Linked DNA regions of Sus scrofa. The protein of the gene in region 3 interacts with the protein of the main gene of each other region in a biochemical or structural test. Links are inferred from orthologs where the notes say so. Each region holds a gene or a part of one and is shown on either strand. Other genes may lie near its edges. The genes, in order: RAPGEF2, RAPGEF5 and RAP1A.

The links.
Region 1: the proteins of RAP1A (region 3) and RAPGEF2 form a complex in vitro, tested with the Homo sapiens proteins (2 studies listed by BioGRID and IntAct, with this or other methods). The link is inferred for Sus scrofa from reciprocal best matches to the Homo sapiens genes RAP1A and RAPGEF2.
Region 2: of the proteins of RAP1A (region 3) and RAPGEF5, one has a biochemical effect on the other in vitro, tested with the Homo sapiens proteins (2 studies listed by BioGRID). The link is inferred for Sus scrofa from reciprocal best matches to the Homo sapiens genes RAP1A and RAPGEF5.

Annotation. Positions count from the first base shown.
Region 1 is NC_010450.4:48,178,988-48,189,520, reverse strand, and holds the start of RAPGEF2 (rap guanine nucleotide exchange factor 2), read right to left. Parts: upstream 6,004-10,533; 5' UTR 5,627-6,003; coding exon 5,567-5,626; intron 1-5,566. UniProt on the Homo sapiens protein: Functions as a guanine nucleotide exchange factor (GEF), which activates Rap and Ras family of small GTPases by exchanging bound GDP for free GTP in a cAMP-dependent manner.
Region 2 is NC_010451.4:90,984,055-90,994,127, reverse strand, and holds part of RAPGEF5 (rap guanine nucleotide exchange factor 5), read left to right. Parts: intron 1-2,599; coding exon 2,600-2,722; intron 2,723-5,306; coding exon 5,307-5,485; intron 5,486-10,073. UniProt on the Homo sapiens protein: Guanine nucleotide exchange factor (GEF) for RAP1A, RAP2A and MRAS/M-Ras-GTP. Its association with MRAS inhibits Rap1 activation.
Region 3 is NC_010446.5:108,745,502-108,756,272, reverse strand, and holds the start of RAP1A (ras-related protein Rap-1A), read left to right. Parts: upstream 1-5,320; 5' UTR 5,321-5,440; intron 5,441-5,511; exon of another isoform or gene 5,512-5,530; intron 5,531-6,234; exon of another isoform or gene 6,235-6,277; intron 6,278-10,771. UniProt on the Homo sapiens protein: Counteracts the mitogenic function of Ras, at least partly because it can interact with Ras GAPs and RAF in a competitive manner. Together with ITGB1BP1, regulates KRIT1 localization to microtubules and membranes.

The DNA.
Region 1 (10,533 bases), on a different chromosome or scaffold from region 3:
TAATATGTCCTACAATGAGATAGACCTTTTTTCAATCTTCTACAGATAAATAGTGTAGGCAATGCATTGGCAAGTTTCTAACATACATTTCTTAACTTCTAAAGGTGTCAAAAGATCTATTATTTGTTGCCAAGGTTTCTTGGCCTAAATCCAAGGCAAGATGACCTTGTTCTTGAATAAAACAATAAGATATTGCTTCCTCTCAGGCCTCTGTTAGCTAGCACAGTGGAAGAGAGATAAGTTTATTTCATCTCAGGAAATATATCTGTCATAATAGACAAAATAAAGATCAAATATAGAAAAGGTAGAGTCTTAACCCAAAAGAGGCGTAACAGCTAAAATTAACCTTGGTGCTATTTTCTATGCTGCTAAGGAAAATGTATCAATCTAATTATATTAAAAAGACACTCTTCCCAATGTTTACAGACCAGGTCAGATTGTCATGGTAGATTACAAGCAATTTCCTTAAAATTGAGTGTTAGTAAGCCTCTTCCGGTTAAAGACAGAAGGGGGTTGGGGTGGGAAAGAGGACCTTACACTTTTTGCTGGATCTTAAATTACAGCCATTCATTTGTGAGGAATCCTAACACCATCCTGTCTATCATCCGTATGGACCTACCCTCCCTAAGGTAATCCATTCCAACAAAGGTGACTTCATTATTTTTCCCCTTAACCTTCTAACCCCCCTCTACTTCTCCCTGCCTTGGTCCCTCACCTGTTATTTTTCCATCTTAGAAAAGCCTTCTCTAGTCTGTCCTCCTAACAGTTGATAAACAGTTTCGAATTCCAACCGCATCTTCACACCTGGTTTGAGGAAGGTGGAGAATCCCCTCAAGACACCATGTCCCATCTAACCATAAAGACCAAACCAATTGATGGCACCAACTTGAAGAATTAATAAAATGAAGGATTATGTGTTAGGTGTCACTAAATCATCATTCAGAAGAAACAGAGATGAATATAAGGAGATAGGGAGCAAATGAAAGTCAAGCCTGAGCACTGCAGGCTGAGAAATGGGAAAAGAAAATGAGCCCTTAATGTCTATGATCAGAGCATCTTGTTTTCATGGAAAAAAGCATAGCTGGAGAAGAAAAACTATGCTCCTAAATAAGAGATTGTATATTCCAGAGGGCCTCAATGACCAGTGGGAACTTGGACTCATAAAATGATGACGCTGATGCTTGGGGCTACAGCTAAGTCACAGCCAGGGTGGACCTGACAGAGGTGGTCATGAACCGAAGTTGGGTTCCAGGAAAGATGCAATCTTCCCTGAAGCAGAAACCGGGAGACAGGACAAAAAGGTGCAGTGCTTCAAGTGGCCCCTTAGGGCCCATTGGAAGTTGCAAAAGGTGCAGAAGATGAAGCATCAAGTTTGTGTTTAAAGAGGTAAATAAGCAACCATTAAAATGAGAAGGTAGGAGTTCCCTTCATGGCTCAGCAGTTAACAAACCTAACCAGGATCCATGAGGATGCAGGTCCAATCCCTGGCCTCGCTCGGTGAGCTGTGGTATAGTTCGCAGACACAGCTCAGATCCCATGTTGCTGCGGCTATAGCTCCAATTCAACCCCTAGCCTGGGAACTTCCACTTGCTGCAGGTGCAGCCCTAAAAAGAAAAAAAAAAGAGAGAGAGAGAAAGGAGGTATACAACAGGGTCATGCAGAGAAGTGTAGAGGGAGGAAGGAATTGGGCTAAACTGCATCTACTTCTGATCATCCCAACTCAAGCCTCAAGAAAATAAAGGAGAGAAGCATTACTGATCACATCTCTCAAATACTTTATGAAACTACTGTTGTGAAAGTTTTATAAAATAATTTTGAACATGATATTGGTGTGCTTTTGCATTAACTTGGAACATCACACACACACCAGGAAAAATAGGAAAAGCTGAGGAAAAGCAAGCATTTTTTTCAAGCCGTGTATTCTGACAGTATCAGCTCTGGTAACCATACAATCCACACACCTAATTTAGGCTTAATTTGGCCACATCAGGAGAAGCAGATGGTGGTTAAAGCAGAGCTATGAAATCAGACACACTTGGGTTCCAATGATGGCTCCACCACTTTCTAGTCCTTGGAAAAAAGGTATTTAATCTTGCTAAGCCTCATTTTCATCATTTCTAAAAAGGTGATAATAAATCTGTCTTTAGGGGCTTGTAATAATTAAGTCAGATAATATGGAATATAGCGCCAGTCGTCATCCAATAAGTGCTCAATAAATGACAGCTATGGATATTTATTCCTGCATTTAGGTGAGCATTTTCTTACATACACCACTTTTAAACATTATCATTTAATCATAACTGAAGTCTTATTTATTATTAGTATAGCACATGACACATATCAATAATTTCTATAAAAATGTGCAGCTGGAACATAGGCGATCAGTTTGATAGCATCTGGCTAATTTATTTTAAGTGATCCATTAAAAAAATTTACAAAGTTTCTAAGTTATCCTATAGCACACAATTTCCAAAAGCACACTCAAGGAACACTACTCCCATTGGTTAATTTGATAGGTGAGGAGTGGGTAAAACATGGAAAGGTTGGTAAAAGGAGCAACGACACTTTTCCTGTTATCCCAGATTCTACCAACTAAGCCTATGAAATTTTTCTCATGTAACACCTATTAACAGTTTATACAACAAGTGCTCCATAGTAGGCTGTCTGAAATGCAGTTCTATCATACATTTTTTAAATGTTAATAATCTCCTTTTATTGTCAAAATCCACAAAAGCAGAAGGCTCCTCTGATGACTAATAGAGTGCTAGATGGCAAGGAAAACGGAGCCCAGAGCTAGGGGCATTCTCGTCCTCACCTCAGTGTCAGCACCTGGCCACATGGACCAGAGGTTGGGACCAAAGGAGGTGAAATATAAGATGTTCTAGCTGAAAGGGTTCAAGGGATGGGATGTCATCATCCCCAAATCACTTTAGATGAAAAATTCAAAGGTGTTTCTCGCACACCTATTAAGTGCCAGCAGCTGAGATAATGCGTGTAAAACCTGAAAGCCCTAAAACCTGAAAGATTCTCCCTAGGTAGAAAAACTGGGTTGACTACTTGTGCCCAGGCATAGTTTTCTTTTTCAAAAATCCCCCAATTTAATGCTTTTGCTTTTTAGTATCTCACTCCCTTCTGTAGCCAAAGAAGCCAAATCACTTAAAAACTTCTTGAAGAAGCAAAAATGAAAGTATTTGTGAAATTACCAAATTTTACGCATTTAAAACTAGCTTTGACATTACCCTCATAAAACCTCATAGGTCAAAAGAGGGGCATCTCACTCATTATTGACAAGTATTTACTGAGTCATCTGTCCGGTGAGAGCCAGGGTCACTATTCCCCTATTCAATTCTTCACACATAATGAACATCGTAAAAGTCTGCTTCTTAAACAGCAAAACCTGGATCACCAGAGGACCCACCTAGATGTACCAGAGGTATGCAATATGCTGACAGCATCAACTGACAACTCTGCCTCACAGGATGGTCTGGGATGGCAAACTCCAGGACTTTAATTTGTAGCAAAAGTATCATGGAGAATACCACTGATGCGTCTTCTAGAAATGACTTGATTCAAAGTTATCTTATGGCTGGGGTTACTTCTATCATTGCATTACCCTCAAATTCAGCAAAGCATAAAATTGCCAGGAAACAAACATACTTATGGAATAGGCGCCTCTGGTATTAACAGACCCAAATGCTCATGTTTGTAAATCTAGCCATACTTTTCCCTCCCCATCAGAAAAAAGTCTTACCACTTTTCTTTTTGTTGCTGATTTTTTTTAAATTTTATTATATTTATAGTTGCACAACCATCATCACAACCTAATTCTAGAACATTAACAATTTTCCTGGGAGTTTCCATCTGGTGCAGTGGAAACGAATCTGACTAGGAACCATGAGGTTGCGGGTTCCATCCCTGGCCTTGCTCAGTGGGTTAAGGATCTGGCGTTGCCATGAGCTGTAGTATAGGTCACAGATGCGGCTGGGATCCTGCATTGCTGTGGCGTAAGCCGGCAGCTACAGCTCCCCCGATTAGACCCCTAGCCTGGGAACCTCCATATGCCATTGGTACAGCCGTAAAAAGACACACACACAAAAAAATTTTCCTGGTTCATTAAAATTATCCTATTAATTTAAATACCCCCTCCCCCATCTTGAGAAAGGATATATGAGAAAGAGGACTAAAGAGCCTGAGATTTGAACTTTGCTTCTAAGGCTCCTCAAGTGTTATTTAAGTAATAGGCTTCCTCACACCTGGAAAAATCATGAATACAGAGGAGCTTCACATCAAAGGGCCTGTTAATAAAACTGAACCATAAGGGAACTTCTCTATAACAACCTTTCTTATTAGTGAAATTAAGGATAAGGCTGGTCTTTTGGGGGATCTGATCCGAAGAGATTTAATTAGCAAGGTACCACCATTGCAAGGGGGTGGGGCTCTCAGCGCTGCCTCATATAACAGGCTTCTGACACAGCCAATGCCCTAGGATACATCCTGTGGTCTCTGGGAATGTGGAATGCTGCCTGAGAGTCACCTCATCTAAGAAAACCTCTCACATCCAGTTACTAATTTTGCTCATAAAGGTGAACAAAAGCAAATTATACCCATTAACCTAAGCATCTAAATATTCTAAGTCACGCCCTTCCGCCTATAAATTTTCAAAGCCTTGGCAACATGTCTCCATTTTTTAAGTTTAACATCTCAACCTTTTTAGAATATATAAAAGATAATTCCTACCCTCTAATATGATACTTGTCAGATGCCAGGATATAAAAACGGACATTTAAGAAATACTTTGATTTACTCCTATATAAGCTGCCTAAATGGATGCCTTTTCATTGGGGGGTTATATACAGCACATATGAATTAGTGTGACGGCAGAAAACTTCCAACATGGTGACATGAAAGCAGCATGGGAACGGGAGGGTCAGACTTGGAAGTAGCCATAAAAAAGTGTTTCTCACAAACTGCGGTTGCCGCCTATGGGATTTCAGCATGACAAACGCAGAGCTGACTCATGGGACCAATTATAAAGAAGCAACACCGTGGCACTGAAAAAAAATTCTGTGTTTTCATTATCTATTAATACATGTTAAGATGAGCACCCCTGATCGTTTTATTACCAAATCAATAACCAAAGCCCTCCTTCCCTCCCTCCAACCTATGTGTGAATTCCTTACTACAGACATCCATTCCTGATAACCTTTGCACGAGCTCTCATTAAGTTTGACTATAAACATATTTTTAAGAAACCATCTTGAGTACTCAGTTAAAGCTGAATGGTCAAGCTCTGATTTCTGATTACAAAAATCAGCTGTCCAATACTTCCAGTGCTCGTGATCGGGCTTTAAATGAACTGCTGCTCTTGGTTAAATTTTTTTTTTTTTTTAACATAGCCACAAAATTGGAAGAACAAGCCAGTTGTAACCTACCCTCCCTCCTCCAAGCATACTATTACCCCCTCTAAAGCACCTGCCTTCCCTGAAGAGCAGCAGCAATCATTCCCGTTTTAAAGCAGTTCTCTCTGACGTGCCATGGAAACACAAGCAGTCTCTGCGATACTTACTGGATGTTTCTCCTGCTGGCCCATAACTCCATGGTTAGCTGGCACTGCTAGTGGTTTCATAACGAAGGAACATAGGCTGGACTGAATTGACACATCATGGACCAATGTCTCATGGACGGCAAGTCACCCTTGACAGCATTGGATTAAAAGAAAAAAGAAACAGAGGAGGAAAAAAAAAAAAAAAAAAAAAAAAAAAAAGGAGAGCCAGCTGCAGCTTCAAGTGTCAGGACTGGTGACTGCAAACCCTCACACTTGTGGACCCGAAAAGGAATCTGAACAACCCTGCTCGTCTCCATTTTTATAGCACTGAAACCCTAACCATCTCAGGCTAGGGCGAGACAGAGGAAACCTTATACAGCTCCTGGTCTTCCCGGAGAACAAGATCATTTCTGAGACTGAAGAACAAGAGGCACAAGAAAAGGAGGAAAAAAAAAAAAAAAAAAAAAAAGCTAAAATGGCTGACTGCACACAGACTCCCCTCCAAAGGCTTCCTACAGAACGGTATTAGGGCGGTGGAGGGGCCCGTCCCCAGCACTCAGCCGAGCATTGTTAATACTCTTGTCTCATTTGCAGTCACACATAGGGACCCCTCTGACCAAGAGGAAAAAAAGGAGAAAGGAAGAGAGAGAGAAAGAATCAGGGCAGAGCGTGTGAATCGGGACCTCCTCCCTGGCTGCCAAGGATGCTGACGGAGCACGGCCAGTGATCCCTGTCCCGCTCCACTAACCAAGTTTGCACAATTAATCTCTGCGGCATGACACTGATGGACATTTAATCTAATGATGTCTGTCCCTCACACTCGGCACAAGCATGACTGCCAGCAAGAGTCACGAACAGAAACACAGCACATGTACACACACGTACACATACACACATACACTCAGAAGCATGAGTCTGAATGCAACACACCAATATAATTACATTATTGTGCTTACTTTGGAGGACCATGGCTGCAGGCAGTTGGCATAGCAACGCACAAGGAAAGCCATTTCCTGGGTAGAGAGAAAGCTTCCTTTTCTAAATAAAAAATTCCTCTTAGGAAACAGACGGCATTGCTGCTTCCTGCAGAAAGCAAGACACTGTGGTCTGTCTCTTACCCTGCAAGGCTCACACTCAATGCAGTTCTAGTGATGTAAGTGGATTTCTCTCTCACCCTCCCTCTCCCTATATACACTGAAATATTCAGCTCAAATGGTACACACATTCCTTAAGGCTCGCCCCCTCCTCTACTTAACCATTTCACTCATTAAGGTAGCAATGGACGATTCAGAAAAAGGAATGAGCGCTTGCCTGTATTTTATCAGCAGCTGTAGGTTAAGCAAGTCTCAGAGGGATGGAATCCATTGATTGCTGACTCCAAATAATATCACTGAAGACAGGGTGGGAAAACAGAGCAGGACTTACTTGAATAGCTTTGGACTAAAAATACGATTTTTCACCAAGGTGAAGATACAGGGATGGATGTGACCTCTTCCAGACCCTCAAAAAGCACATGCTACAGGAAACAAGTGTCCACCCCAAATTCACAAAATGCACATTTAACAAGCTCTGTATAAATTTAGAAGATGTGACTTTCACAAACACCCATACACACACAGCACCTTGCAAATAATATAAAACTAAACACACTCAGACTTTAAAAAAAAAAAAAATCAAAGTTCTTTTAGAGGTAGAAAGTTGAAATTTAATACAGGCGTGGTATTCTATCACAAACGTAATTTCACCCAGGTCAGTAGGTCATTTGAAAAGATAGCATTAGAGCTGACATTGTAACTTTGAAGCACTGGTCTGTTTCTCATGGTCTATTAATGGTATATAGAGTAGAAGGTAGATACGGAAAGTCCAGCAACTTGAGTAACAGACTTTAGGACTGAGGGCCCTTTCTGCCTTGTGCTTCTCATCCACTTGCCTGACATGGCACTCGCACTGATTATCCTCCTTCCTTTCCCCTCACATCTAAGAGCATCCATTCCCCTACATCATGATTTTGGATCCTTCTCCCCAATGTCCCTCTCATTGACTGCCTATGTTATCTATTTTCCAGTCCCCCAACCCCGGCCCCCCATATATTCAACTTCTTCCCCACAACTAGAGGTTCTTTGCATAGGCTTTTACTTATGTTCAGGTCTCTCCCATCTCAAAACAAAACATAAACCAGAAGCCTTCCCTGGATCATCGATTCTCCTGTGGCTACAGTCTAACCTCTTCCCTACTGCACAACCAAAGCTCTTAAGAATCACCTACTTTGGCTTCCATCATCCTCTATCCCACTGACTTCTCCAATGAAGGACCACTATGGTCCCATTATACAACTGACACTGACAAGTAACCCTTAATACCCTTCTCCATGTTCAATCCATCGCAGTATCCCGCGAGTTAAGTACTCTTCCTGTTCTAAAACTCAAATTTTTCTTCATCTCTGCTATCATGCATTCCAATCTTTTTTTTGGGGGGGGAGCTTCAAATCTCTAAAAGTCCCCTTAATGAACTGCCTGGATTCAGTTCTATCCTCATCCACTCAACCCAGTTTAACATACTGCTTCTGAGATCTTTCAGAAACTAAAATCTGGTCATTTCACTCTCATCTATGAAGCCACCACTTCAAATCCAGATACATCAATGGCTTCCCATTGCTCTCAGGACAAAGTCTGCAGACTGCACATGTCATCAAGACTCACTCCACATTCAGGCCTCCTGCTTCCTTGAAGAAGCAAGAGGATCTTTCCACATGTTATTTCCTCTGCCTCCAACTCTCCTCTCTTCCTTTCCTGACTGACTCTCCTCCACCCCTCAACACACACTGGTGAAATGCTCTCAAAGTGACCATGATATTGTGCATCTCTGTCATGCTTCAATTTTACATTCAATCATGAGAGTACCTGAGCAGTGAGTGTCTGCTCCCCCTGCTACAAAATGCGCTCCATGAGGGCTGGTGCCATGTCAGTCTGCATGCCAGTGGACTTGCAGCACCCTGTGTGCTACATGTGGCAGATACACACACTGTCTGAATGACCCACATCCCCAGTGACTGGGAGTGGACATTAGCAAAACCATATCTGATCTCGTAAACTAGTTCCTATCCAAATCCCAAATATGTTTCTATAACAGACAAACTAAGAATTTAAAAGTAAATGGTGACTGGGAATCTGGAGATGGCAGATGCAGGCTGTTGCCTTTGGAGTGGATAGGCAATGAGATGCTGCTGTATGGCACTGGGAATTATATCTAGTCACCTATGATGCAGCATGATGGAGGATAATGTGAGAAAAAGAATGTATGTTTGTATGTGTGACTGGGTCAATTTGCTGTACAGTGGAGAATTGACAGAACACTGTAAACCAGCTATAATGGAAAAAATAAAAAGCATTTAAAAAATAAAAAATCTAAAAAAGTGAAAGTGGATCTTTGACAAAGGAGAGAAGGCAATATAACAGAGCAAAAGACAGTCTCTTCAACACATGGTACTCAACAAATGGACATCCACATATAAGAGAATGAATCTAGGAGTGGACCATACGCCATTCACAAAAATTAACTCACAGTGGATCATAGATCTAAATGTAAAATGCAGTAACTATAAAACCTCTATAAGATAATATGAGAAAATGTAGATGACCTTGAGTATGGCAATGCCTTTTCAGATACAACACCAGAGACATGATACATGAAAAGAAGTAACAGATGAGCAGGACTTCACTAAAATTAAAAACTTCTGCTCTGTAAAAGGCAATCTGAAGAGAACTAGAAGACAAGCCACAGGCTGGGAAAGAATATTTGAAAAAGACATCTGATAAAGGACTCTTATCCAAACTACAAAAATGTTAAAACTCAACAGTAAGGCAAAACTTTATTAAAAAATGGGCCAAAAATCTTAATAAAAACCTCATCAAAGAAGACTTACAGATGGCAAATAATCATATGAAAAGATGCCCTACAGCATATGCCATGAGGGAAATGCAAATCCAAACAACAAGGTACCACTACACACCTATCAGGATGGTCAAAATTCAAAACACTGACACCACCAAATGCTGGTGAGGATATGGAGCAAGAGGAACTCTCATTCACTGGTGGTGGGAATGCAAAATGGTGCAGCCGCTTTGGAGGACAGTGCAGTGGGTTCTTGCAAAACTGAATACACTTCTACCTGGTGATTCACACACATTTTGATATATACCCAAAGCAGCCAAAAACTTATGTTCACCAAAAGACCTGCAAGTGGATATTTACAGGTTTTATTCATAATAGGCATAACTTGGAAATCACCAAGATGTCCTTCAGTATGTTAATCTATAAATAAACCATGGTATGTCAAGACTATGAAATATAATTTAGCACTAAAAAGACAACAGCTATCAAGCCATGAAAAGACACAGAGAAATCTTAAACGCATATCACCAACTGAAAGAAGTCAATCTCCAAAGGTTACATGCTGTATGATTCCAACTATATGACATTCTGGAAAAGGCAAAACTACAGAGACAGTAAAAGATCAGTGGTGGCTAGGGGTATGTGTGAGGAGGTAGCATCTGTGGGGGCACAGATAGGATAAATCTCTGTACCTTTTTCTCAATTTTACTGTAAACCTAAAACTGCTCTAAAAAAAATAAAGTCTTGGGGGTAAAAAAAGTAAAAGGTAAAAGGAACCCAAATGTCCATCTATGAATGAATGTATAAACAAAATGTGGTATATACATACAATGGGCTGTTATTTCGTCTTAAAAAGGAATAAAACTCTCTAACAAGCTACAACAAGACACTGTGCTAAATGAAATAGTTCAGTCACAAAAAGACAAACACTGTATAACTCTGCTTACACCAAGAACCTGGAATAGTCAGATTTATAGATAGAAAGGTGAATGGTGGTTGCCAGAGGCTGAGAGAAGAGATGGGAGGGGAGTTTCAGTTTGGGAAGATGAGAACACCTTAGAGATGGATGGTGGTGATGGGTGCACAGTGATGGGAGT
Region 2 (10,073 bases), on a different chromosome or scaffold from region 3:
AGCACATGTGTGAAGAAAGGTAGAGCCCATGCTGCACATTATTTTCAATCCTAAATTTAAGAACATTTACACCTAAGTGGATGATCTGTTGCTGTTGTTCCTACAAAACTCAGTCTGGTGGTTGCTTTCTGAACGGTAGGGTCACCCCTGAGAAGCAGGCTCGGCCAGATGATGATCATATCATCCAGACCCATGGTCCTGGTCTGTTCCATGGAGTCATGAGAGGAATGGGTCTTCCCAGCTGGCTGGCCCCTGTTGTATACATAATGGAGGAATCTGTGGGTTAACCAACACTGCTATTAATAAGAATAGTTTATGTAAAATTATCTATAAGATACCAAGCTACCATAATAGCATTAGTCACTGTTATTTTTACACTTAGTATCAGACATGTATGTACTGACTAATTGACACACAGTATCTCATTTAATGTTCCCGCTAACCCTGTAAAGTTTGGAGAGGCTGGGTATCTTCCTACAGCAAAGTCAAGGAGAAGGCTAGGATTTCAGTCCAGTTAGGTTTGACTCTGGAGCTCCTGCACCTTCCCTTCATGTGTACATCATGAGGAAGAAGAGGAGAGGGAAGCCATCTATCTTACTTGGGCCTTCTGGGTCCTAAGTGTCTTTCTGCAGATCACTGGGCCCATGTCTGTGTATGGTGTAATTCCATCAGTGGAACATGACAGGATGCTGAACAGCATCTTTGAGTAAATAATGAGATTGATGTGACTGGACCCTTCCTCACTGAAGTAGGATCAAACGTGCACTTTCTATGGTCTTCTGGTAATGGCAGGACCTGCACTTGAATTGTCTTCAACCCCCCTCCTCCCAACACACATACTGATTCTCACTTGGTTCCCTCCTGTGCCTTCCCAGGCTCTCTTCTGCTGTGGTCCAGGGCCTTGGAAGAGTTTTAGGGGATAAATAGGTACTGGGAAGCATGTTCCACTTGAGCAAAATGCCATCCTGTGTTGGGATGCTTCCCTTCTTGAAATTTTTTCGAGTCACCTAGAATTTCCCCACTGGAGTCTTCATTTAGGTATTTCATCCCCAAGAGAGCAGCTGAAATGGAACATTGTAAGGGGAGAAAAACACGTGAAACTGCTTGTATCCACTCTACTTGTGCATAGATTTTTTAGTCTTCTTGGAAGACTGGAATTCATAGTCCTGAATGAATGGAACAGAGGAATAGTGTTTCTTAAAGGGCACATTGGATTACCTTGGATAACCAGAGAGCAATGTCAGGGTAAGGGCACATTTAGGGAGAAAATAAGAGGGATAAAAAGCCAAGTGAAAATATCCTTACACCTCCAAATTGAAAAGCAGAGATCTCTATTACTTCCCAACTCGTGGCTCTTAGGATGTCTGCAGGGCAGCGTGGAGTCCATCTGGCCCCAGTCTGGCCAAACCAATCCCTGAGAAGCCCAGGCTCTCTCCCACCCATCTCAGCACCTCGGTGTTTGTACACACATCATTCATTCTGCCGTTACTGAGCTCTACCCTGTATCCACACTGAGGGTACAAGGGCAATTTGTACCTTGACCTATGCTGAAGAGAATCAAGTCTGTGGAAAAGCTCATGAAGGTCTTTAGTCATTTTTTAAATTAGGAAACCTTTTTGTAAATGTAAAAGTTTGAAAATGTCAATAATTTATTTTGCAGTTCAAAAATAGAGATTAATATTTGGAATCTGAAATTTTCTCTATCCTGCTTTGACATTTATTTTTGCAAAGCCCTCTTTTTTTTTTTTTTCCAAATCATTAACTATTTTAACATTAACTATTCAGGTCCAGCTCCTCAAATGCGAGAATTTCCATTTTAATTAGAAAATATCACATATTTTGAAAAGATGCCAAATAATTTTTAATCAATTTAACATTTAACAATGGCAGTAGATTTAAAGCTGTGATGACATTTAATAATTTTATGCCAGATTTTAAGGAAATACTTTTATTACCAAACTCACAGCTACTGCAGGGAAGCAACTGATACTTTAAAATAATTGTCCACCATATAAATGAAGTAACTTTCATTTTATTTCCTGTCTAATTTTTTTTTTTCATTTGCTTTCCATGAGCATTTTAATAAAATTTGTCAGTGTATGTCTGGGATGAGACTCGTTAAACATATTTCCTGTAAAAGCCTTGTCTGTCTTTATTGAAGTGCACCGTGACATTTCTTTTGTTTGTTTTTATACTAGCCCTGCTGGCACATTAATTCTTACCAGAAGCCAAAGTGACTTCAGGGCTTTTGCTTTCATTATGCTGTCGGCTGGGGCAGTGTTTTATAATCAGATTTGTGCATGCACGTCTCTCTCTCTCTCTCTCTCTCTCTCTCTCTCTCTCTCTCTCTCTCTCTCGGGCGGGGCGGAGGGGGGCACCACAGTGCAGTATCATTCATCACATTCTTTTGCTTCCAAGGCTGTTTCCTAAATTGGCTGTAACTCATTGAAGGTGAACAGATCAGAGAAAATATGAAGTGCACTCAAACAAGATGACTTTTCTAATGTGGGCTTCTAGTGGCTTTCTGCAGCCAGCCACTTCAGTGCCCAACTTGTAGGGGTTTTACTGAGGATCCTTTTGCTTCTCTCTGCTGGTTTAGAATCCGTTCGCAGACAGTGAGGAGTCACAGCAAAGGTCGATTAGGATTTTGGGAATGAACACTTGGGATCTCGCTCTGGAATTGATGAATTTTGATTGGAGCCTCTTTAATTCAATTCACGAGGTAAGACTCGAAATGATAAAATAAGTGCCAGTGCTGTTTTAACTGTGGATTCTTTTTGAAGAATATTTGTGTGTGACTAGGTTTTAAGAAGATCCATCATCTAGTGATATAGTTAGGCTTTAGGATGCCAGGGCCCCCAGAAATATTTGGGGACTTTACATATATTGAAAGACTGACCCAAACCTAGGAAAATCAGAATACAGGACCAGGCTTTATTTGTACTTAATACAATTGTATGTTTGTGTAATGTAGCATAAATATGCTATATTTTTTTGCTTGAAAACATGTATTCATATATATGCTTACGTATATAAAGTTCTAATGGGATTTAAGAGACATTTTACATTTGATACCTTTGATATTGGCTTTTTATTTTTTCTATGAGCTTTACAGTACTTTAAGAATCACATTTATAAATGCACCTACACACACATTTCTAAGAACATTCTATAAATTTAGACTATATATATTGTGAGTCTTCAAGTACTTGAAAATTTTGAGATATATTTCAAATGTGTATGTCCATCACCCTCTCCCTTGAGAACAGCTTAAACATTTATTAAACAATAGATGAGGAGCAAAATGGTACTGACAATGAATAAACATAGCCAGTAGAAAGACTCAGAAATCAGGAGATGAAAAATGAGGCACCTCTTGCTACATACGGTTTGTTGATTTGCTTTGCTTTCTTGTGAACTATTTCATACAAAAAGGCCTTTCCTTCTGAAGAAGGAACTTGGGCCCAATGTAGGGACCCCCAAGCTTCATTTTCGTTTTGTAACATCTTTTAAATATCATCATGATTTTTTGCCAACAACATTCCAACATGATTATTTAAATTTGAGTAAATCGTGAACTCATTCAAGCTGAATGAGTTGAAACTTGGAAATGTTGGTAGAGTGGGGTGCCCCTGCTCATGGATGCTTATGCCGTGGAAGGATGTGAATTACTCCTGCAAATACACACATACACACACACAGGCACTCCCCTCCAATTAGAAACAAATTTCTTCCATTGCTTTACATGTGATCCATCCATATCAATAGTTACTGGTCTAACTCAATTTTGTAAGTTTTGTTCCTTGTCCTAATCTCACTCTCTATCTGTTATTTAACAGTGTCTTATATCAGTGGTTCTCAGAGTGGGTACCCAGATCTGCATCAGCAGGACACCTGGGAACTTGTTAGAAATGCACATTTTTGGCCAGACCGCAGACCTGTTGACTCAGAAAATTTAGAGGATGGGGCCCAGCAATCTGTGTGGTTTTTGTTTTTAATTTTTTTATGGCTGCGCCCTCAGCATATGGAAGTTCCTTGGCCAGGGATTGAATCCAAGCTACAGCTGCGACCTACACCTCAGCTGCAGCAATGCCAGATCCTTTAATCCACTGCACCAGGCTAGGGATTGAACATGCACTTCCACAGCGACTTGAACTGCTGCAGTCAGATTCTTAATCACAGCAGGAACTCCAGCAATCTGTGCTTTATTTAACAGGCCTCCAGGTGATTCTGGTTCATGCTGAAATGTGAAAACCCATGTCTAGAAACTCTACCTGTGAGGGTCCAATGTGCATCTTAACGGATACTAGTGATAATCTTTTTCACTTGAAGTTGCCTCTATAACAAGTTTGGAGAGTTGGGGTTTGATTCAGCTCGTGACTTAAACTATTTTATTTTATTTTATTTTTGCTTTTTAGGGCTGCACCCGTGGCATATGGAGATTCCCAGGCTAGGGGTTGAATCAGAGCTGCCAGCCTATGCCGTAGCCACAGCAATACGGGATCCAAGCCAGGTCTGAGACCTACACGTATAGCTCATGGCAAGCAACACTGGATCCTTAACCCACTGAGCGAGGCCAGGGATCAAACCTGTGTCCTCATGGATGCTAGTCGCATTTGTTTCTTCTGAGCCACGATGGGAACTCCTGACCTAAACTTTAGAACGTCTTAGATTTTCATGAAAAGCATCATCTTTGCATTCTAAAAAATTACATTTATGTAATGATTCTACGAGAACATTATTTCATGAGGAATTTCTAAAAGTCAAGGTAAATTGCCTTGAATTTAATACACTGTTATTATGATATGACAGGGGTTACTGAAAGTAGCTCTTAAAGATGGATTGAGGGAGTTCCCGTCGTGGCTCAGTGGTAACAATCCTGACTAGTATCCATGAGGATGCAGGTTCGATCCTTGCCTTGCTCAGTTGGTTAAGGATATGGTGTTGCCGTGAGCTGTGGCGTAGGTCGTAGATGCATCTCAGATCCCATGTTGCTGTGGCTGTGGTGTAGGCCTGCAGCCACAGCTCCAATTCTACCCTTAGCCTGGAAACTTCCATATGCCACAGGTGCAGCCCTAAAAAGACAAAAAATAGATTGAGGAGTTCCCTTATGGCATAGTGGGTTAAGGATCCACAGTTGTCTCTGCAGCACCTCAGGTTGCTGCTGTGGGGTGGGTTCAATCCTTGGCCGGGATATTTCCATATGCTGTGGGCACAGCAAAAAAAAAAAAAAGTGTATTGAATTTTGTATCAACTTGACTCTGTGCTGTAAAAATAAACACTGGCATGAATACACTGTCTTTCAGCAAGAGCTGATCTACTTCACGTTCAGCAGACAAGGAAGTGGGGAGCACACGGTGAACCTCAGCCTTCTGCTTCAGAGATGCAATGAAGTCCAGCTCTGGGTGGCCACGGAGATTCTCCTCTGCAGCCAGCTAGGCAAGCGAGTGCAGCTGGTGAAAAAATTCATCAAAATTGCTGCTCAGTGAGTTTCTAGTGGTTAAAAATGCAATTCCTCTCCTCTCCTTGAGAGGGTACATTTTTTCCCCTTATGACAATAACTGGCTCTCCCTGTCCCCTGCACACTATCACCCAAGCCTGCACATGTGTTGTTGGCCCTGCCAAGAATGGCCACTTCCATCTAGCAGATTGCTGTCATTCAAGACCTAAGTCATATGTTGCTTCCTTCCTAAAATCATCCTTGACTTTCAAACGCAGAATCAGCTGCTCCCTACCCCAGCTTCCCCATATCAGGCACACAGGCTTTTTTCCTTTTTTAAAAATTTCTTTATTATATTGATTAAACCTAACTCTTTGTGTAGGATTCCTTCATTAGGCTGTGTTAGCTTCCAGAGGGCAGGGACCATTTCTAATCGATCATTGTGCCTGGGGTGCCTGGTACTGAACTTGGTAAATAGCAGTGACTCAGGAAGGTTGTTTGAATGACATTTTAGTAACTTCCTGTGAGCATCTCTCAAAATACCAGATTATTATCCTGAGACTACTCCTGGGACAGCTTCCCAACAGAAATAGACAACATGAATCTCAATCTTTCCCACTTCCTTCTACCTTCTGATCTTCCCATTTTTTTTCTTTTTTCTTTAAGTTTTTTTTTTTTTTTTAAATCAAAGCATTTTTGAGTACATGTCAGTGTAATATATTTAGGAAATATGTTCTGATCATTTAACTATATTTGCATATCTATCCAGGGCAGGGTGGGGAAATAAGAGTGAACCTACTCTGCCTTCAAGGACTTCTCAGTCTACTGGGGGGGACACTTTCTATAACTCAAATGGCTAATTTGCAAAATAGACGTGGAGGGGGTGCCCTCTTATAAGATGAAATTCTTCTGGGGGCTTTAGGGGATGGGAAATTTATATGCCAAGGGTATGGGAAAGGAGGATTAGACAAATTTTTGGAAGAAAGTCGCATTTGAAGCTATCTTTAAATTCTGGGTAGGAATTCAAAAGAGCACACGCTCCACAGAGGTCAAACTCAGCAGAGGAGAGAAGCAGTGAAGTTCCTTGGAGGCTGAGAGATGGTGGTCAGAGAAAGGAACCCCTTCCAGTTTGGCCAGAGTGAAAGGCATTTGTCATGCAGTTGTGGAAGACCGATCTGAAAAGGAAGATGCTTTGACAAAGTTGTTAAGGATGTTGAATTTCAGATGGAGGAGTTTGGACTGAATTGAGAAGGCAGTGAGGATTCTCTGAAAAGTTTTTGTGCAGGAGATGGAGATGATCCAAGTTGTTCTGCAGGAAGGTTGATCTGGAAGTAGCACACAGGCTGAATTGTTGGCAAGGAGACCCCAGAAGCAGGGTGTTCTGTTGACTTAGGTGAGAGAATAGCAGTGCCTGACCTGCTGTTTGATGTGACTGGGAATCGAAGGCGAGATAGGTAACAGCTAGACCTCAGTCTTGAACTCTTCTAGAGTAAACAGTCTTTTTTTTTTTTTTTTTTTTTTAATTTGACCAGTACATTGTCTATAATAGCCTGTGAAGGGTGAGGCTCTTTGGGATCAAAAACTTTCTTTCTTTCTTTTTTTTTTTGGTCTTTTTGGGGCCATACCTGCGGCATATGGAGGTTCCCAGGCTAGGGGTCGAATCAGAGCTGTAGCCTCTGGCCAACACCACCGCCACAGCAGTGCCAGATCCCAGCCGTGTCTGCAGCCTACACCACAGCCCACGGAAACGCTGGATCCTTAACCCACTGAGCGAGGCCAGGGATTGAACCTGCAACCTCATGGTTCTTAGTTGGATTCGTTTCTGCTGCACCACAACAGGAACTCCTCAAAAACTTTCTTATAAAGGCCCCTTACTTGGTGAAATGGGACATTAACATCCCAAGGACTAAAATGACACCACATAGTTTAGTTCCCAGTGTAAGATTATATCCATCCTCAGGGAAATGAAATATGTATAGTCACGTCTTCTGTGCATGGCCTCATGCCCTTGGATTATTTGCTGAGCTGGTCTCTATTCCTAGCAGGTAGAGTAGAATGCCAACAGAAACATAAAAGTTACATTCTTCATAATCAAACTGGTAGGAATAGCCCAGGAAAAACAGTGATTTCCATGATCCTGAAGCATCTTCCCTGCCTAAGGCATCCTATTTGCATATTCATTATTTCCTTCCTTCTTACCGGTCCCATCCCCCACCTCTGTGGATTGAGTGGATTTTATATCTTCACACAGACAAAGGAGTCTTTGCTAATCTGGAATGTGTTAATGTCAGATAGTCTGTTCTTATCTTGGAGTGAATGGACCTTGGTAAAGGAAGACTCCAGACTGGAATGGTAATCATATTTGTACTACATCAATTTGTCGTATAGAGAAATCATTTCTATATTAATTTTTTCTTTTTACAGAGGGAATTATATGTGGGTTATTATTTTTTTTAATCTTAAGTATGACCAAAAAAGAGATCTGAACCAGGAAAATTGTTTATGGGGAGCTAAAACATCAAAAGATGGGAATTATGGAGTTCCCATTGTGGTGCAACAGAAACGAATCCAACTAAGATCCATGAGGATGCGGGTTCGATCCCTGGCCTCGCTCTGTGGGTTAAGGATCCCGTGTTGCCATGAGCTGTGCTGCAGGTCGCAGACTCAGGTCAGATCCTCTGTTGCTACGGCTGTGGTGCAGGTCAGCAGCTGCAGCTCCAACTTGACCCCTAGTCTGGGAATTTCCATATGCCATGGGTGTGGCCCTAAAAAGCAAAAAAAAAAAAAAAAAAAAAATTTTAAAAGGTGGAATTATATCTAAGATTTCATGTCAGGTGTTCCCATCATGGCTCAGTGGTTAACGAATCCAACTAGGAACCATGAGGTTTTGGGTTTGATCCCTGGCCTTGCTCAGTGGGTTAAGGATCTGGTGTTACCGTGAGCTGTGGTATAGATCGCAGATGCGGCTCGGATCCCGCGTTGCTGTGACTCTGGTATAGGCCAGTGGCTCCAGCTCCAATTCGACCCCTAGCCTGGGAACCTCTATATGCCACAGGAGCGGCCCTAGAAAAGGCAAAAAAGACCAAAAAAAAAAAAAAAATTTCATGTCAGTAAGTGATTTTGAATACAAAGAAGGAGAATAAACTTTTTATAATGAATAATAATAAAATCATTTCCCCTGAAAGTTTTGCAAAAGTTTATGCATTTGAGTGATGGGCAGAATATACAAATGTCTAGTGGGAAATGACAGACCCAGCGGGACTTCCATCATGAAGTTAGGAGGCAGGACTGGGAGTGAAGGAAAGCATCTGGTGGAGATGCTTCTGGCCCAGGGATGGCCTAGGCCTGTTCTCACTGGTGACAGAGCCTTGGCAGAGGAGCCTGGTACTTCATGCCATCACATAGAGAGATGGAGCTGACTCAGGGCTGTTCTGGCCTGTGTGAACTTTCCAGGGTATGATGGGACAAAGGGTGGAATGAGGGAAATGAGTGGCAAAAGGGAAGCAGAGCTGCAGTGTGGATGCCTTTAGGCAGGGTTTCTCTAAAACAGGTGGGTTTCTAAATCATAGACCAGGAAGTATCTTAAAGCAGGGTCCACGCAGGAGAAAGTTGGTAGAAACCAGATGAAGGGGCCAGTCAGACTGAGTTTCAAGTCCTCTTGCCTAACAGGCTGAGTCCAAAGCTGGACAGGAAGATTATGAGGGGACAGATCATGCCCAGTGGAGGCTCAGCAGTGAGGGGCTTGCATTACTGGGTTCACCCTGATATTTGGGACACTAGGTATGGAGGCAGCAGTGCCTTTCCAGGTTCTCCTGTTAATGAGGATAGAATTTCCAGACTGTCCCCCAGCATGACCCCCACTGCCTGATGCCCAGGCACAGCTGTACTGGGCAGTGTCCAGTCCTCGAGGCTGGCTCTGGGAGCTGACCAGTTCAGACAAGACCAGCCAGGACACAGCCAGCTCTATAGATTACCACTCTCAGATCCCAAACCAGTTTCCTGGTTCTGAACTCAATGCTCATATACACACCTCTGTGACTGGAAATTGGTATAGTTTGGAGGGGGGCACAGAAGTTTGTAATATGTGTTGAAAACCTGTAAAGTCATAATAGCTTTTGATCAATCATGTAGAGACTGGAAGTCAAGCTTAATTTTTAAAAATGACAGTAAAAAGTTTTATACACAAAAGATATCAATTGTGGCATTCTGTTTAGAGTTGGAATGAGTTGAAAATAATTTAAATGTCAACAATAATGGAATAAGTAAACAAATGATGAAATATGTTTTTGACGAAGTGTTCTTTAGCCATTAATGATAACAGTGAAGGAACCATAATATATAACAAAGTATGTAAATAAAAACAAGATTCAGAATTGTGTGTATGCTGTCCCCAGATTCCATCTGAGACATTGTTGGAGAGATGACATCTGAGGGCTGCTCAGGCAACACACACGAGGTACTTTTTTATGCACCCAGCTTACTGCTAATCACTTTCATATTTATCAAGTTAGGGTAATTTTTTTAATTTTAAAGACATGCCTATTTTCCAGTAAGTCCCAGATAAAGGAGTGTCTGGACTTCACAGGCTGTTGCAGGTGACCTGGATGTCCATCCTCCCTCTGCTATTCTAAGC
Region 3 (10,771 bases):
CACGGACACGATTAGAACACAATGATCTGTAAGGAGGAATGTTTAGTAACAGGAATAAAATGAATGACTATTAATGAATACATGAAACACATGACGAGACGCACAGTGCTGCAGGTAAGGTTAAAAACAAACTGTATTTCTGAGGAGAGGAAAAATCAGAGAAGGTTCCAGGTACGAACTGCTGGATGAGACAGGCCTTCAAGGATTTCAACAGACATAGGGTCCAGAAGAGGGGATGGGAGGCACTGTTCCGGGCAGAGTCAATTTAGGCAAATGAGTTGACTCCTTTATAAAAAAAAAAAAAGTGGTAGGAATTATATAGTAAGCAGTTCAGTTTTGCTTGAGAACTATCTCTGTGTGTAAGGGTATGGTTAGAAAAGAGGGGTGGAGACGCAGAACTGGGCAAATGCCAGATTAAGTAGTTTTGCCTAATTGGACAAGGAACAACTGATAGTTTTTTTTAAATAGGGTGGAGTCATGATCTGGCCCCTGCTTTAGAGAGAGAGTTCTGGCAAGAACACAAAACGAATTGAAGCGAAAGCAGTTAAGCAGGAGACCAAATAGGAAACTACAGCAAAAGTCTAAACTAGAGAGAATCAGTACCTGACCTAGAGCCGTGGCAATGGAGATGCAGAGGAAGGGCAGAGGGAAGAGACATTGGGTAGGAGAGATCTACGCCCCTCTGTCCAATATGGTAGCCCCCAGCCACATGCGGCTGTTTGAATCTAATTTAAAGACACTGAAGTCAAATACAATTTACTTATTTATTTACTGTCTTTTTGTCTTTTCTAGGGCTGCACCCATAGCATATGGAGGTTCCCAGGCTAAGGGTCTAATCAGAGCTGTAGCCACCAGCATACACCACAGCCACAGCAACGCAGGATCCTTAACCCACTGAGCGAGACCAGGGATTGAACCCAGTTCCTCAATCAATGCTTGATAGCCATATGTGATAACTGTACTGGATACGCAGATGAAGAAGATTCCCATCATGGCAGAATGTTCTATTGGACAGTGCTGCCCTCTACACTTTGCAGATGAATTGGTACCGGGATGGAGAAGATAGGTTAAAGGCAGCTGAGATTTGGCGGATGAGTAACTGAGAAATATAGTGCCAGAAGGAGTTCCTGTTGTGGATCAGAAGTCACGAACCTGACATAGTGTCCATGAGGACGTGGGTTCGATCCCTGGCCTCACTCAGTGGGTTAAGGATCTGGCGTTGCCGTGAGCTGTGGTGTAGGTCACAGACATGGCTCAGATCCAGCGTTGCTGTGGCTGTGATATAGCCCAGCAGCCGTAGCTCTGATTTGACCCCTAGCCTGGGAACTCCCATATGCCGCGGGTACAACCCTAAAAACAATAAAAGGAAAAAAAGATAGTGCCGGGTGCAGGAAAGGAGAAACCAGGAGGAGGAGACGCTGGATGGAGGAGGAATTATATCCCTTACTTTCTGTCAAACCCCAGGAGGGACAAAGTATCTGCACAGATGCTCAGGTGAGTAAAGCAAAGCATGAGTGGGCTCTCCCAGGACTTATGAAGACACACCATCCCTTGCCCTCCAACCTCCCCCACCCACCCCCTCAGTATCAAGTTCGTTTATCCCCTCCTGTGCTCAGTTTCTCCCCGGCTTAGGCAGCTCCCTCCATCTCAGGTGGCTCCCAAGGACGGTGACAAGGCAGGAGCTGTGGGCTTGCTGTTTCCTCAACTCTAAGATGCCAGCCTGGACCCTCTTTTCTCACAGCTACCCTTGCTTCCTCTTTCCCAACCGCCTCACCCGCCTTCCCCCTGCTCCATCCTTGGAAAGTCCCCTTGGCCCCCTTATGTGACTGCTTCCTCTAGAACTAGCCTTCCCCACCCCCACCGCTCCCCGCTTCCTGGGACCACCAAACCATTAACCCCACGGCTTTTTCACTTGCCCTCTCTCCACTCCCAGCTTAGATTCTAAGGTCTACCCCATAACCATTCCCTGGCTTAGACCCCTCCCTGTCTCCTGACTTTCCCCAACAAAACCCAGCCATTGGCTTGTGGCTGCAGAAAAGTCGCACAGCCTCATTGAGGGGTCTCACTTTATTTTTTTATTTTTTATTTATTTTTTTAAATTTCAACTACTCCTCTTTCGAACTTCTGAACAGATTAATTTTTTTGTTTTTTTTTGTTTTTTTTTTTTTTGGTCTTTTGTCATTTTAGGGCCGCACCCAAGGCATAGGGAGGTTCCCAGGCTAGGGGTCTAATCGGAGCTGTAGCCACTGGACTACGCCAGAGCCACAGCAACTTGGGACCCGAGACTCATCTGCAACCTACACCACAGCTCACTGCAACACCGAATCCTTAACCCACTGAGCGAGGCCAGGGATCGAATCCGCAACCTCATGGTTCCTAGTCGGATTACGTTTACCACTGTGCCACGAGGGGATCTCACTTTAAACATAGGACCACCGGCTCTAGAAGGCTCTCAGCCTTGCTCATACTACATTTCTCTAGTAAGTCTTCCAACTTTGCAGGGAATTCTTTCTCACCTTAGTCCAGCTCCTTAAAGAGCCAGCAGCCCTTCCCCACTCACAGCCTTCTATTGCTTAGAATAAAGTGGAAACCTCATAGCCCTGATCTAATTCATCAAACCCAGTGAGGCAGTCAGCACAAAGAGTATTCGGTGCAAACTGGGAAAACACCCACCCAGAGTGAGTGAGTGAGTGAGCGTGTGCGTGTGTGTGCACACATGGGCAATGCAGAGGATATGCTATAAGGTACCACCTCTCCAGGTGGAGCAACTAGAAAAGACAATCCTTCATCCAGGTAGATTTGGCCTCAAAATTTAGTTGGCAGAACAGGGGCTGGATGTCAGTTCCTTCCTGCCTCCTTCTGCTCAGCAGTGGCCTGAACATGCCATCACCGCGTGTACTACCTGACCTGCCTGCATTTGCACCCACAGACTTTGCCTCCTCTCCAAAAACAGTGAGTGCACCTACTGTCCTTGCTCCTTTCCAAGGCCGACTCCTCCACTTCTTCGCTAGGTCCCTTTGCTTCTCAACTACCAGGGGACAAGCTTTCTCTAGCTCTCTCCTCTTTGGCACCATCATTCCCCGTGAAGGGTCATTCCAGCAAGAGACCAGTATTAACAGGAGATACCCGCCCTTAATCCCAAGTACGCCCCCTTTTCAGTTGTTCTTTTTAGCAAAGCTCCTGAAGAGCTGTTTAGACTTGCCATAAACCCTTTCTCTTCTTCATCTCCCCTGTCTTGTTAACAGACCCTAATTAGACTGTCTCCCCAGTGACTCCATTGGAACTGCTTTTGCCAAGGACATCAGCAACCTGCATCAGGTCAAATGCAGAGTTCAAACTCTCAGCCCTCATCAGCATTATTTGATAAGACTGATCGCTCCCACCTTCCTGAAACAATTCTCTTATCTTCCAACCCTCCACCCTTTCTTGGTGTTTCTCCTACCTGGTAGCTTCTCCATGTCTATGGAAACTCCAAAGGCTGGAGTTCATCTTTGTCCTCTGCTCTAGCTAGTCTCCCTCCCAAGTGATTTTATGTAGACTTAAGACTGAAAAAGCATCTACATACTGATGACTTCCAAATTCATATACTCAGGCTTACATATTCAATTGTTTACTCAACATCTTCACTTGGATGTAGAACATGCACCTTATGTAACATACACAAAACAGAATTCCTGATTTTTCCCCACCCCAAATTTTCTCCTCTTTAAGTCTTCCCCATCCCATTAAATAGTACCACCTTTACTGCATCCTTTAGGCCTGAACCTAAGAAGCAAACATGATCTTTTCGTTCCTTGACACGTTCTCTGCCAAATTGATTCCAATTCAAAAATGCACCTGAATACATTCAGACACACCTCGTCCAAGCTCCCATGAACAGCCTCTCTGCTGACATCTGTGCTTCCCTGTTGTGTATTTTACACACATGAGCCATGGTAACTTTGAAAATTGTGAATCAGATGTGGTCATTCCTCTGCTCACCCTCCCATGGCTCTCTGCTGCTCTTGTGACAGCCCATGAGGCTCCACTGGACCTGACCTCTTCTTCCGCACCTCTCTCAGCCCAACTACTACTACTCTCTGGCTAGCTGATCACCCCAAGCCATTCTGGCCATTTGTTGTTCTTGCTACATGCTCGGCTGTTCCCAACTCTGAGCTTAAGGCCAGAGATTTTCTTTCAGCTTATAAGGTCTCCCCTATGCCTTCTCCCCTCCCACATATTTTCTAAGCCCACTCCTTCATATCATACACTATGGGCTCAAAGGTCTCCTCTGAGGGGCAATATCTGGCCATCTATAAAGTCACTCCATTCCTGGCTTTATTTTTCTTCACACCACTTATCACTTCCTGAACTTTTTTTTTTTTTTTTGGTTTTTTTTTGCCATTTCTTGGGCTGCTCCTGCGGCATATGGCGGTTCCCAGGCTAGGGGTCTAATCGGAGCTGTAGCCACCAGCCTACGCCAGAGCCACGCAACGTGGGATCCGAGCCGTGTCTGCAACCTACACCACAGGTCACGGCAACACCGGATCCTTAACCCACTTAGCAAGGCCAGGGACCGAACCCGCAACCTCATGGTTCCTAGTCGGATTCGTTAACCACTGCGCCACGACGGGAACTCCAAAAGAGATTTTTTTTTTTTTTTTTTTTAGTTTTTGGATTTTATAGAGCCGCAGATACATCGTATGGAAGTTCCCAGGCTGGGGGTCTAATTGGAGCTGTAGCTGCTGGCCTATGCCACAGCCACAGCAATGCCAGATCCCAGCCTTGTCTGTGACCTACCGCTCAGCTCATGGCAATGCCGCATCCTTAACCCACTGAGCGAGGCCAGGGATCGAACCTGCGTCCTCACCGTTACTAATCAGATTTGTTTCCCTGAACCAAGATGGGGACTCCACTTTCTGAAATTTTTGTTCTACTTGTTTGTTTCAGTCTCCTCTCTCCCACTAGAATGCAAGCTCTACGAGGGCCTTTACTTGCCAATGGCATTATTCCCTGTGCCTGTCACATATGAGATGTTCAATTAGTACTTATCAAAAGGTTGTATTCCGTCCAAAATTCTATTACTCCAGAATCTTCGGACTATTCCTCATTTCCTTTCCGCACCCAACCGCCCAAGGCAAAACCGTAACTCCCGCTCCTCTCCTCAGGTCATAACTCTCCCGGTTCGTAACTCTCGCATCCCTTCCTGCGCGGCCCCTTTAAGCGGACTCCGGAACGCCAAAAGGAAGGCGGGGCCGAAACCTTGCCGACGCCGACTCGGAGGGGCGGGGCGGGACTTGGGGGCGTGGCCTGCGTGCTGCGTGCGTGCGCGTTCTGGAGGCGCCGCCGCCGCTCTCGAGGCCGCTGCCGCCGCCGTCGCCGCGCAGAGCCGGAGCAGGAGCCACGGCCGAGTGGAGGGAGGAGGAGGAGGAGGAGGTGGAGGAGGCGCCGGACCGGGGGGGTGAGTGAGGGGCGGGGAGCCGGAGCCGGCCTCAGAAGGAGCGGGGGGCGCGGGTCGGCCGAGCCGGGGCTGAGGCGGCTCCTGTTGCCGGTCAGTCCCCTGGCTCCCCCTTCCTCCTCTGCGTTCCCTCGGTGTCCGGGGCGGCGGCCCGGGGCCTGGCCGGCGGGAGGGGCCAGGACTTGGGGAGGCCCGGCCGCCGCCGCCGGGGCCAGAGCCAACCACGCCCGCGGACCGAGCCGGTGGACTGTGGCTGGGCCTGCGGGAGAGGGACGGGAGGGGCCCGGGCCGGGTGTGGGAGAGAAAGAGGACATTGTGTCCCCCACCCTCCAACTCCCCGAGGTGTCATGGCACAAGCCTATTTCCCTCGCCATCTCCCCGGACACAGTGCCCTCGCCCCTCACTGCCCGAGGGAGGTAGAAGATTGGACATCGCTGCCTTTTTCTTCTTGCGTGTCCCCAGACTAGGGTCAGATCTTCCTTCAAACCCAGCTCACCCTTTGGGGGGCAAGCACAGAGGGGGTTGGAGGGTTGGGTGAATTTTCTGTTCCTCCCTCGTCTGCTGGAGAGGTGAGGGTAGACCGGAGCAGTGTCCTCTCTGTGTTCACTTGTCAGGGTTCGGGGTCCCCCGTTCCTTTATTCCCCCAGTGCGCAGGGCTGACATCTCTACGCCCCACTCCATTTCCCAGCCCCTTTCCCGCCCTCTTTGCCCAACGTCTTCCGTGGCATGCCATGTGTTCGCCTTTTCGGGCGTTGCTTTTCTTGGGTCTCTGCTTCTTTCCTGAATTTTATTAGTGCAGAGGTCACCGTGTGATTCTTGTCTTCCTTCAAACTGGGACTGGTAGGAGTGTCTTTTGCCCCCTGGTTCAGGAAGTTAAGGACAGCGTTTTCGGCTGAATTGTGTAACTTACTGCTGTGGGGAGAACTTGAGGGGAAGACACTTGTGCCTGAAAAGTGGAATCAGCTCACGGTGCTAAGAACCAGAGTTTAGGGGACCTTTTGACCTCTTGGAAAAAGAACTAGCGTCGAGGAGTTATGTATTCCTTTTGGGGAGGGAAAATGGTTTTGTCACTGCTTCGAAGGGAGGAAGGTAGAAGAAATGAAAGAGAATAACAGGGCAGGAGGTTAATGGGTCACAGCTGTACAGGTGGCCACAGTTTTCTGCTTCCTGGGTGTGAGATGATAATTCTTTCTGTTTTTAGCACAGTTAAGAGTGAAGTATCCGCTCTTAGTTTTAACGTGGGGCTCCTACCTTCAAAAGCATGCTGAAGGGCAGTCTCTAAAGGGATGCTGCTGGAAACAGGATTTGGAAACTTTATTTTGGTTTCCTGTCAGAGTGTGGGGGTGGGCATGCATGTGTGTAGTTTTTCTTCTCTTGTGATGTAATTGATAATCTGCACTATTTTGACATAATTGACACTAAATCAGGTTTCGAGCTTCTTTATTTTGATTTCTTGAACACTTACTTTCTGTTTTGAAATTGTATTTGCGTTAATTGAAATTCTTTTAGTCTGGTGTTTCAGTAAATCTTGTTTCCTCGGTATTTTGAATTATGTGCCACAAAATGTGATTAGGTGTAAGGTACTGAGGTTCATACAGTGCCTGGCACATGCTAGGCACTTGGTCTTTCTTGTTTGTTTGTTTTTGTGGCACTTGATATTTCTTGAATGAATTGAATGATTACAAAGATATGTCTAGGTATTTCCATATCTTCTATCCTTTTGAGAGGCAGCTCAAATTAGAATATGGCCTTTAGCTCCCAGTATATAAAATAGTAATTATTAACCTTTTCTGGGCTACTGACACCTTTGAGAATATAATGAAATGTGTAGATGCTCTCCTCAGGAAGGAGGTAATAGGCATTTTTGCACAAAATTTTGCATTCAGTTTCAGGGACCCTCTGAAGCCAACCATGGGTAGTTGTCTTAAAAGTAAACTGGAATCCCTGAGTATTCAGTTCCGTATTAAAACTGTTCAAAAGCCTTTGTTCATCTTCTGTTTGAGTTCAGGAATGACAAACCTACCCTTATAGACTAAATTTGGGTCTTTGGGAACAAGATTTAAGAGTGATTTTGTATTGCAATCTTATGGGGAAAAGTTCTCATTAATATAACTATTACCAGTAGTTTTTGAACTACTAATAATTTTAAACAAATGGCTTTGAAGGAAATTATTATAGTCACTTTTGGCAGCTTAAAATCATGATCATGACCGACTTATGATTTTTATTGTACAAACTCCTTTTTAGCAACATGATCCACACTTGAAAATGTTGACAGATGATTTTTCTCTTCTCTTCCAAGCTTGTTTATGTGCATGTTTTTTCATGTAGTTAACAACATTCAATATTAATTTAACACGTGCTTTTTTGAATGCCTATTATGTGAATAAAACAAAGTCCATGCTGTCACAGAGCTTTATTCTAATTAGGAGAGATGGGCCACAACCAAATAAATGTAGAATAAGTCAGGTGATAAGAGGTGTGCCGAAGAGTAAAGTAGGTTGAGGGGATGGAGGGGAACAGTGGCAAAGAAGGCAGTCAGGGAAGACATGAGGCTGGAGCACAGACCTGAAGGAAGTGAGAGATGTTTGCTGTCTTGGGGCAGAAGGTTACAGGCAGAGGGCTGTAAGTGCAAAGACCACTCAGTGTACTTGGCGTTTTGGAGAACACCTGGGCCGCCAGTCAGCAAGAGGGAAAGTGAGAGAGCTTGAGGTTTGGAGAAGTTGCCGAGGCCACTGTACAGCTTTGTAGGCCGTGGTCAGAACTTTGGATTTTACTTTGAATGAGATGGGAAACCACTAGAAGAGAGACCTGTTCTGACTTAACGTTTATGGGCATCATTCCGGCTGCTGTGTGGAAATCAGCTTGGGGGATGGGGCAAGAGTGGAAGCAGGAAGACCAAATAGGAGGTTAATAATCTTCATTTTAAACCCTTTTCAGTGGTTGCAAAATATTCCATCTACCTGCTGTTGGGCATATTTCCCCCTATTGAAAATAACAATGAACACTTTGTGTATGCAGCATTTTCTTTCTTTTTGAATATTTCCTTGGAATTGATTTCCAGAAGAAGCACTGTTGAATCAAAGTATATAAATATGCTTGTCTTCTTGGTATATCTATTCCTACAGAGAGTGGGTTGTACTAGTTAAAGTGACAGCCACAGTTGTTGATCTTAAGTTTCATGCAGTGTTACTTGCTTTGGGTAGTGGTAGTAGTAGTAGTAGTTGTAGTAGTAGTTTGAATTTTCCAGTAACTCACGTGAATTCTTGTTTTAGCTTTCCTTTTTAACATTTAACAAGGGGGTGCTAATTGTTGGGGATACAGATTTGTCTTAGACAGGGTTTTCTTCACTTAGGGAATTTTACGTTCTGTCGTAGTTTGTAGTCTAATAGTTAAATTCAACTTCAGATTTTGCCAGTGTTTACTGTTACTCCAGAACTTTGTTAGTATATGGTTGATGATCTTTTATATAAAATAGACATTGCAATCAAGCACCTAATTTTTCATATTGATAATTCTTTTTTTCCTTACTTATTTTTAATGGTATCTGCAATTTGTTTAATTTCTGTTTTTTATGTCTTCAGAATCTTACATCTCTGACAGCCCTGTGTTTTGTTCTTTGCAATAAATTATGCAACTAGTATTTAGTTGAGGACTCTCACAGTTGAATTTTTAAATTGTTGTAATTCTTTGTAAGTTATTCAAAACACAGAGACTATTGTTTCTCTTAAATAAGGCTAGCATTGCATCTTTGAAATTTTATTTCTATTATAAAAGGGGATGATGCCAGTCTGTTTTGATAGAGTTATACCACCATGAGGGCATTGCTCAGCATTTCTGGGTCCGAAATCTAAATGGCTTGATTTGGCATGAGCAGAAACATCTATGAAGTCAGGGAGTTGAACTCCTGGAGTTACCTGCAAGCACCTAGCATTGCGTCTGACACATGCTAGAGACCCAGCAAATGTTCATTGAACCTCCCGTAACCTCTCAGCTCCCAGTTCTACAATTCTTCTATTTTAGAACATCAATAAAAATATCTTGTATAAAGCGTTTATATCTTAATATTGTGGTGAGTTTAAAATGGCAAACGTAAACTGACTTCCTACCAGTGTTCCTTTCAAATTGAACTCATCAGTTTTAAAAAAGAGTTATGGTATATTGCCAAGTATTTTCTGCTCATTCTGATATCTATACTGCTGCATGACTTAATGCCAAATTCACATTTTATGGAAATGATTAACGTTAAGCATAAAGCCCTTTAAGTTGTCTTACGTTACTGAGACAGATGAAGCAGCCATTTCCCCCCATTTGTGTGTGTGTGTGGAATTTGGAGGTTACACATGGTAGTTTTTATGTGCTTTTCAGTCTTTCATATACAGAGAAATATTGGCCCATTTACATTTTGAATTTTTGTGATAATGGTTATGAATATGCAATGAATGATTCACATACTCTCTCTCCATTTCCTTTTGCACTTAGTTTTGAGATGACTAGTTAGGAAGGCAGTTTGTTTTAAAGTTAAATGATCTTGATTAGTATTGAACCTATAAATTTAGCTTATCACGATGTTTTGATCAATTAGGCAGTTCGAGAACTGAGCCATGCTCTCATTTCCTCTTGAAAATAGGCTTTTTAGAGCTAGAAGGTACAGGCATACATCAATTAAAAAAGGAAATTGTAGAGTTCCTGCTGCGGTGCAGTGGGTTAAGAATCTGGCTGCAGCAGCTCTGGTCGCAGCAGAGGCACAGGTTTGAGCCCTGGCCTGGTGCAGTGTATTGACCTGGCGTTGCCACAGCTGTGATGTAGGTTGCAGCTGTGGCTCAGATTCAGTCCCTGGCCTGGGAACTTCCATATGCCAGAGGAGTAGCCATAATATTTAAAAAAAAGGAAATTGTGTGTGATGGTTAAGGTGGAGTTGAAACAAGAAATTGTACCTTTACAGATGGTCTAAAAATCATCTTTTTATTGTAACTTTCAGAAATATGTAATATAGACATGGACGTTTAAATATGTACTGTGAAATTAACTTCAGTCAGTCATTAGACTAATGGCTTTTTTTTTTGTTTGTTTTAAGATTCTGGACTTACTTTAGGTTAGATGAATCTGGAAAAGAAGTTTTTTTTGCATATCTAGTTTTCCCAGATAGAGATAGTTTCCTATCTCCAGCCTAATTATTTAGTTCATATTGCTAAAGAGTGGTTCAAAGTGTGGAAAGGTAAGATTAACCAAATTTGGAATTAAATATGTAGTTCTCTGTTTGGTTTCAGAAAATATTTATTTTTTATTTTATTTTACTTTTTTAGGGCCACACTCCTGGCACATGGGGGTTCC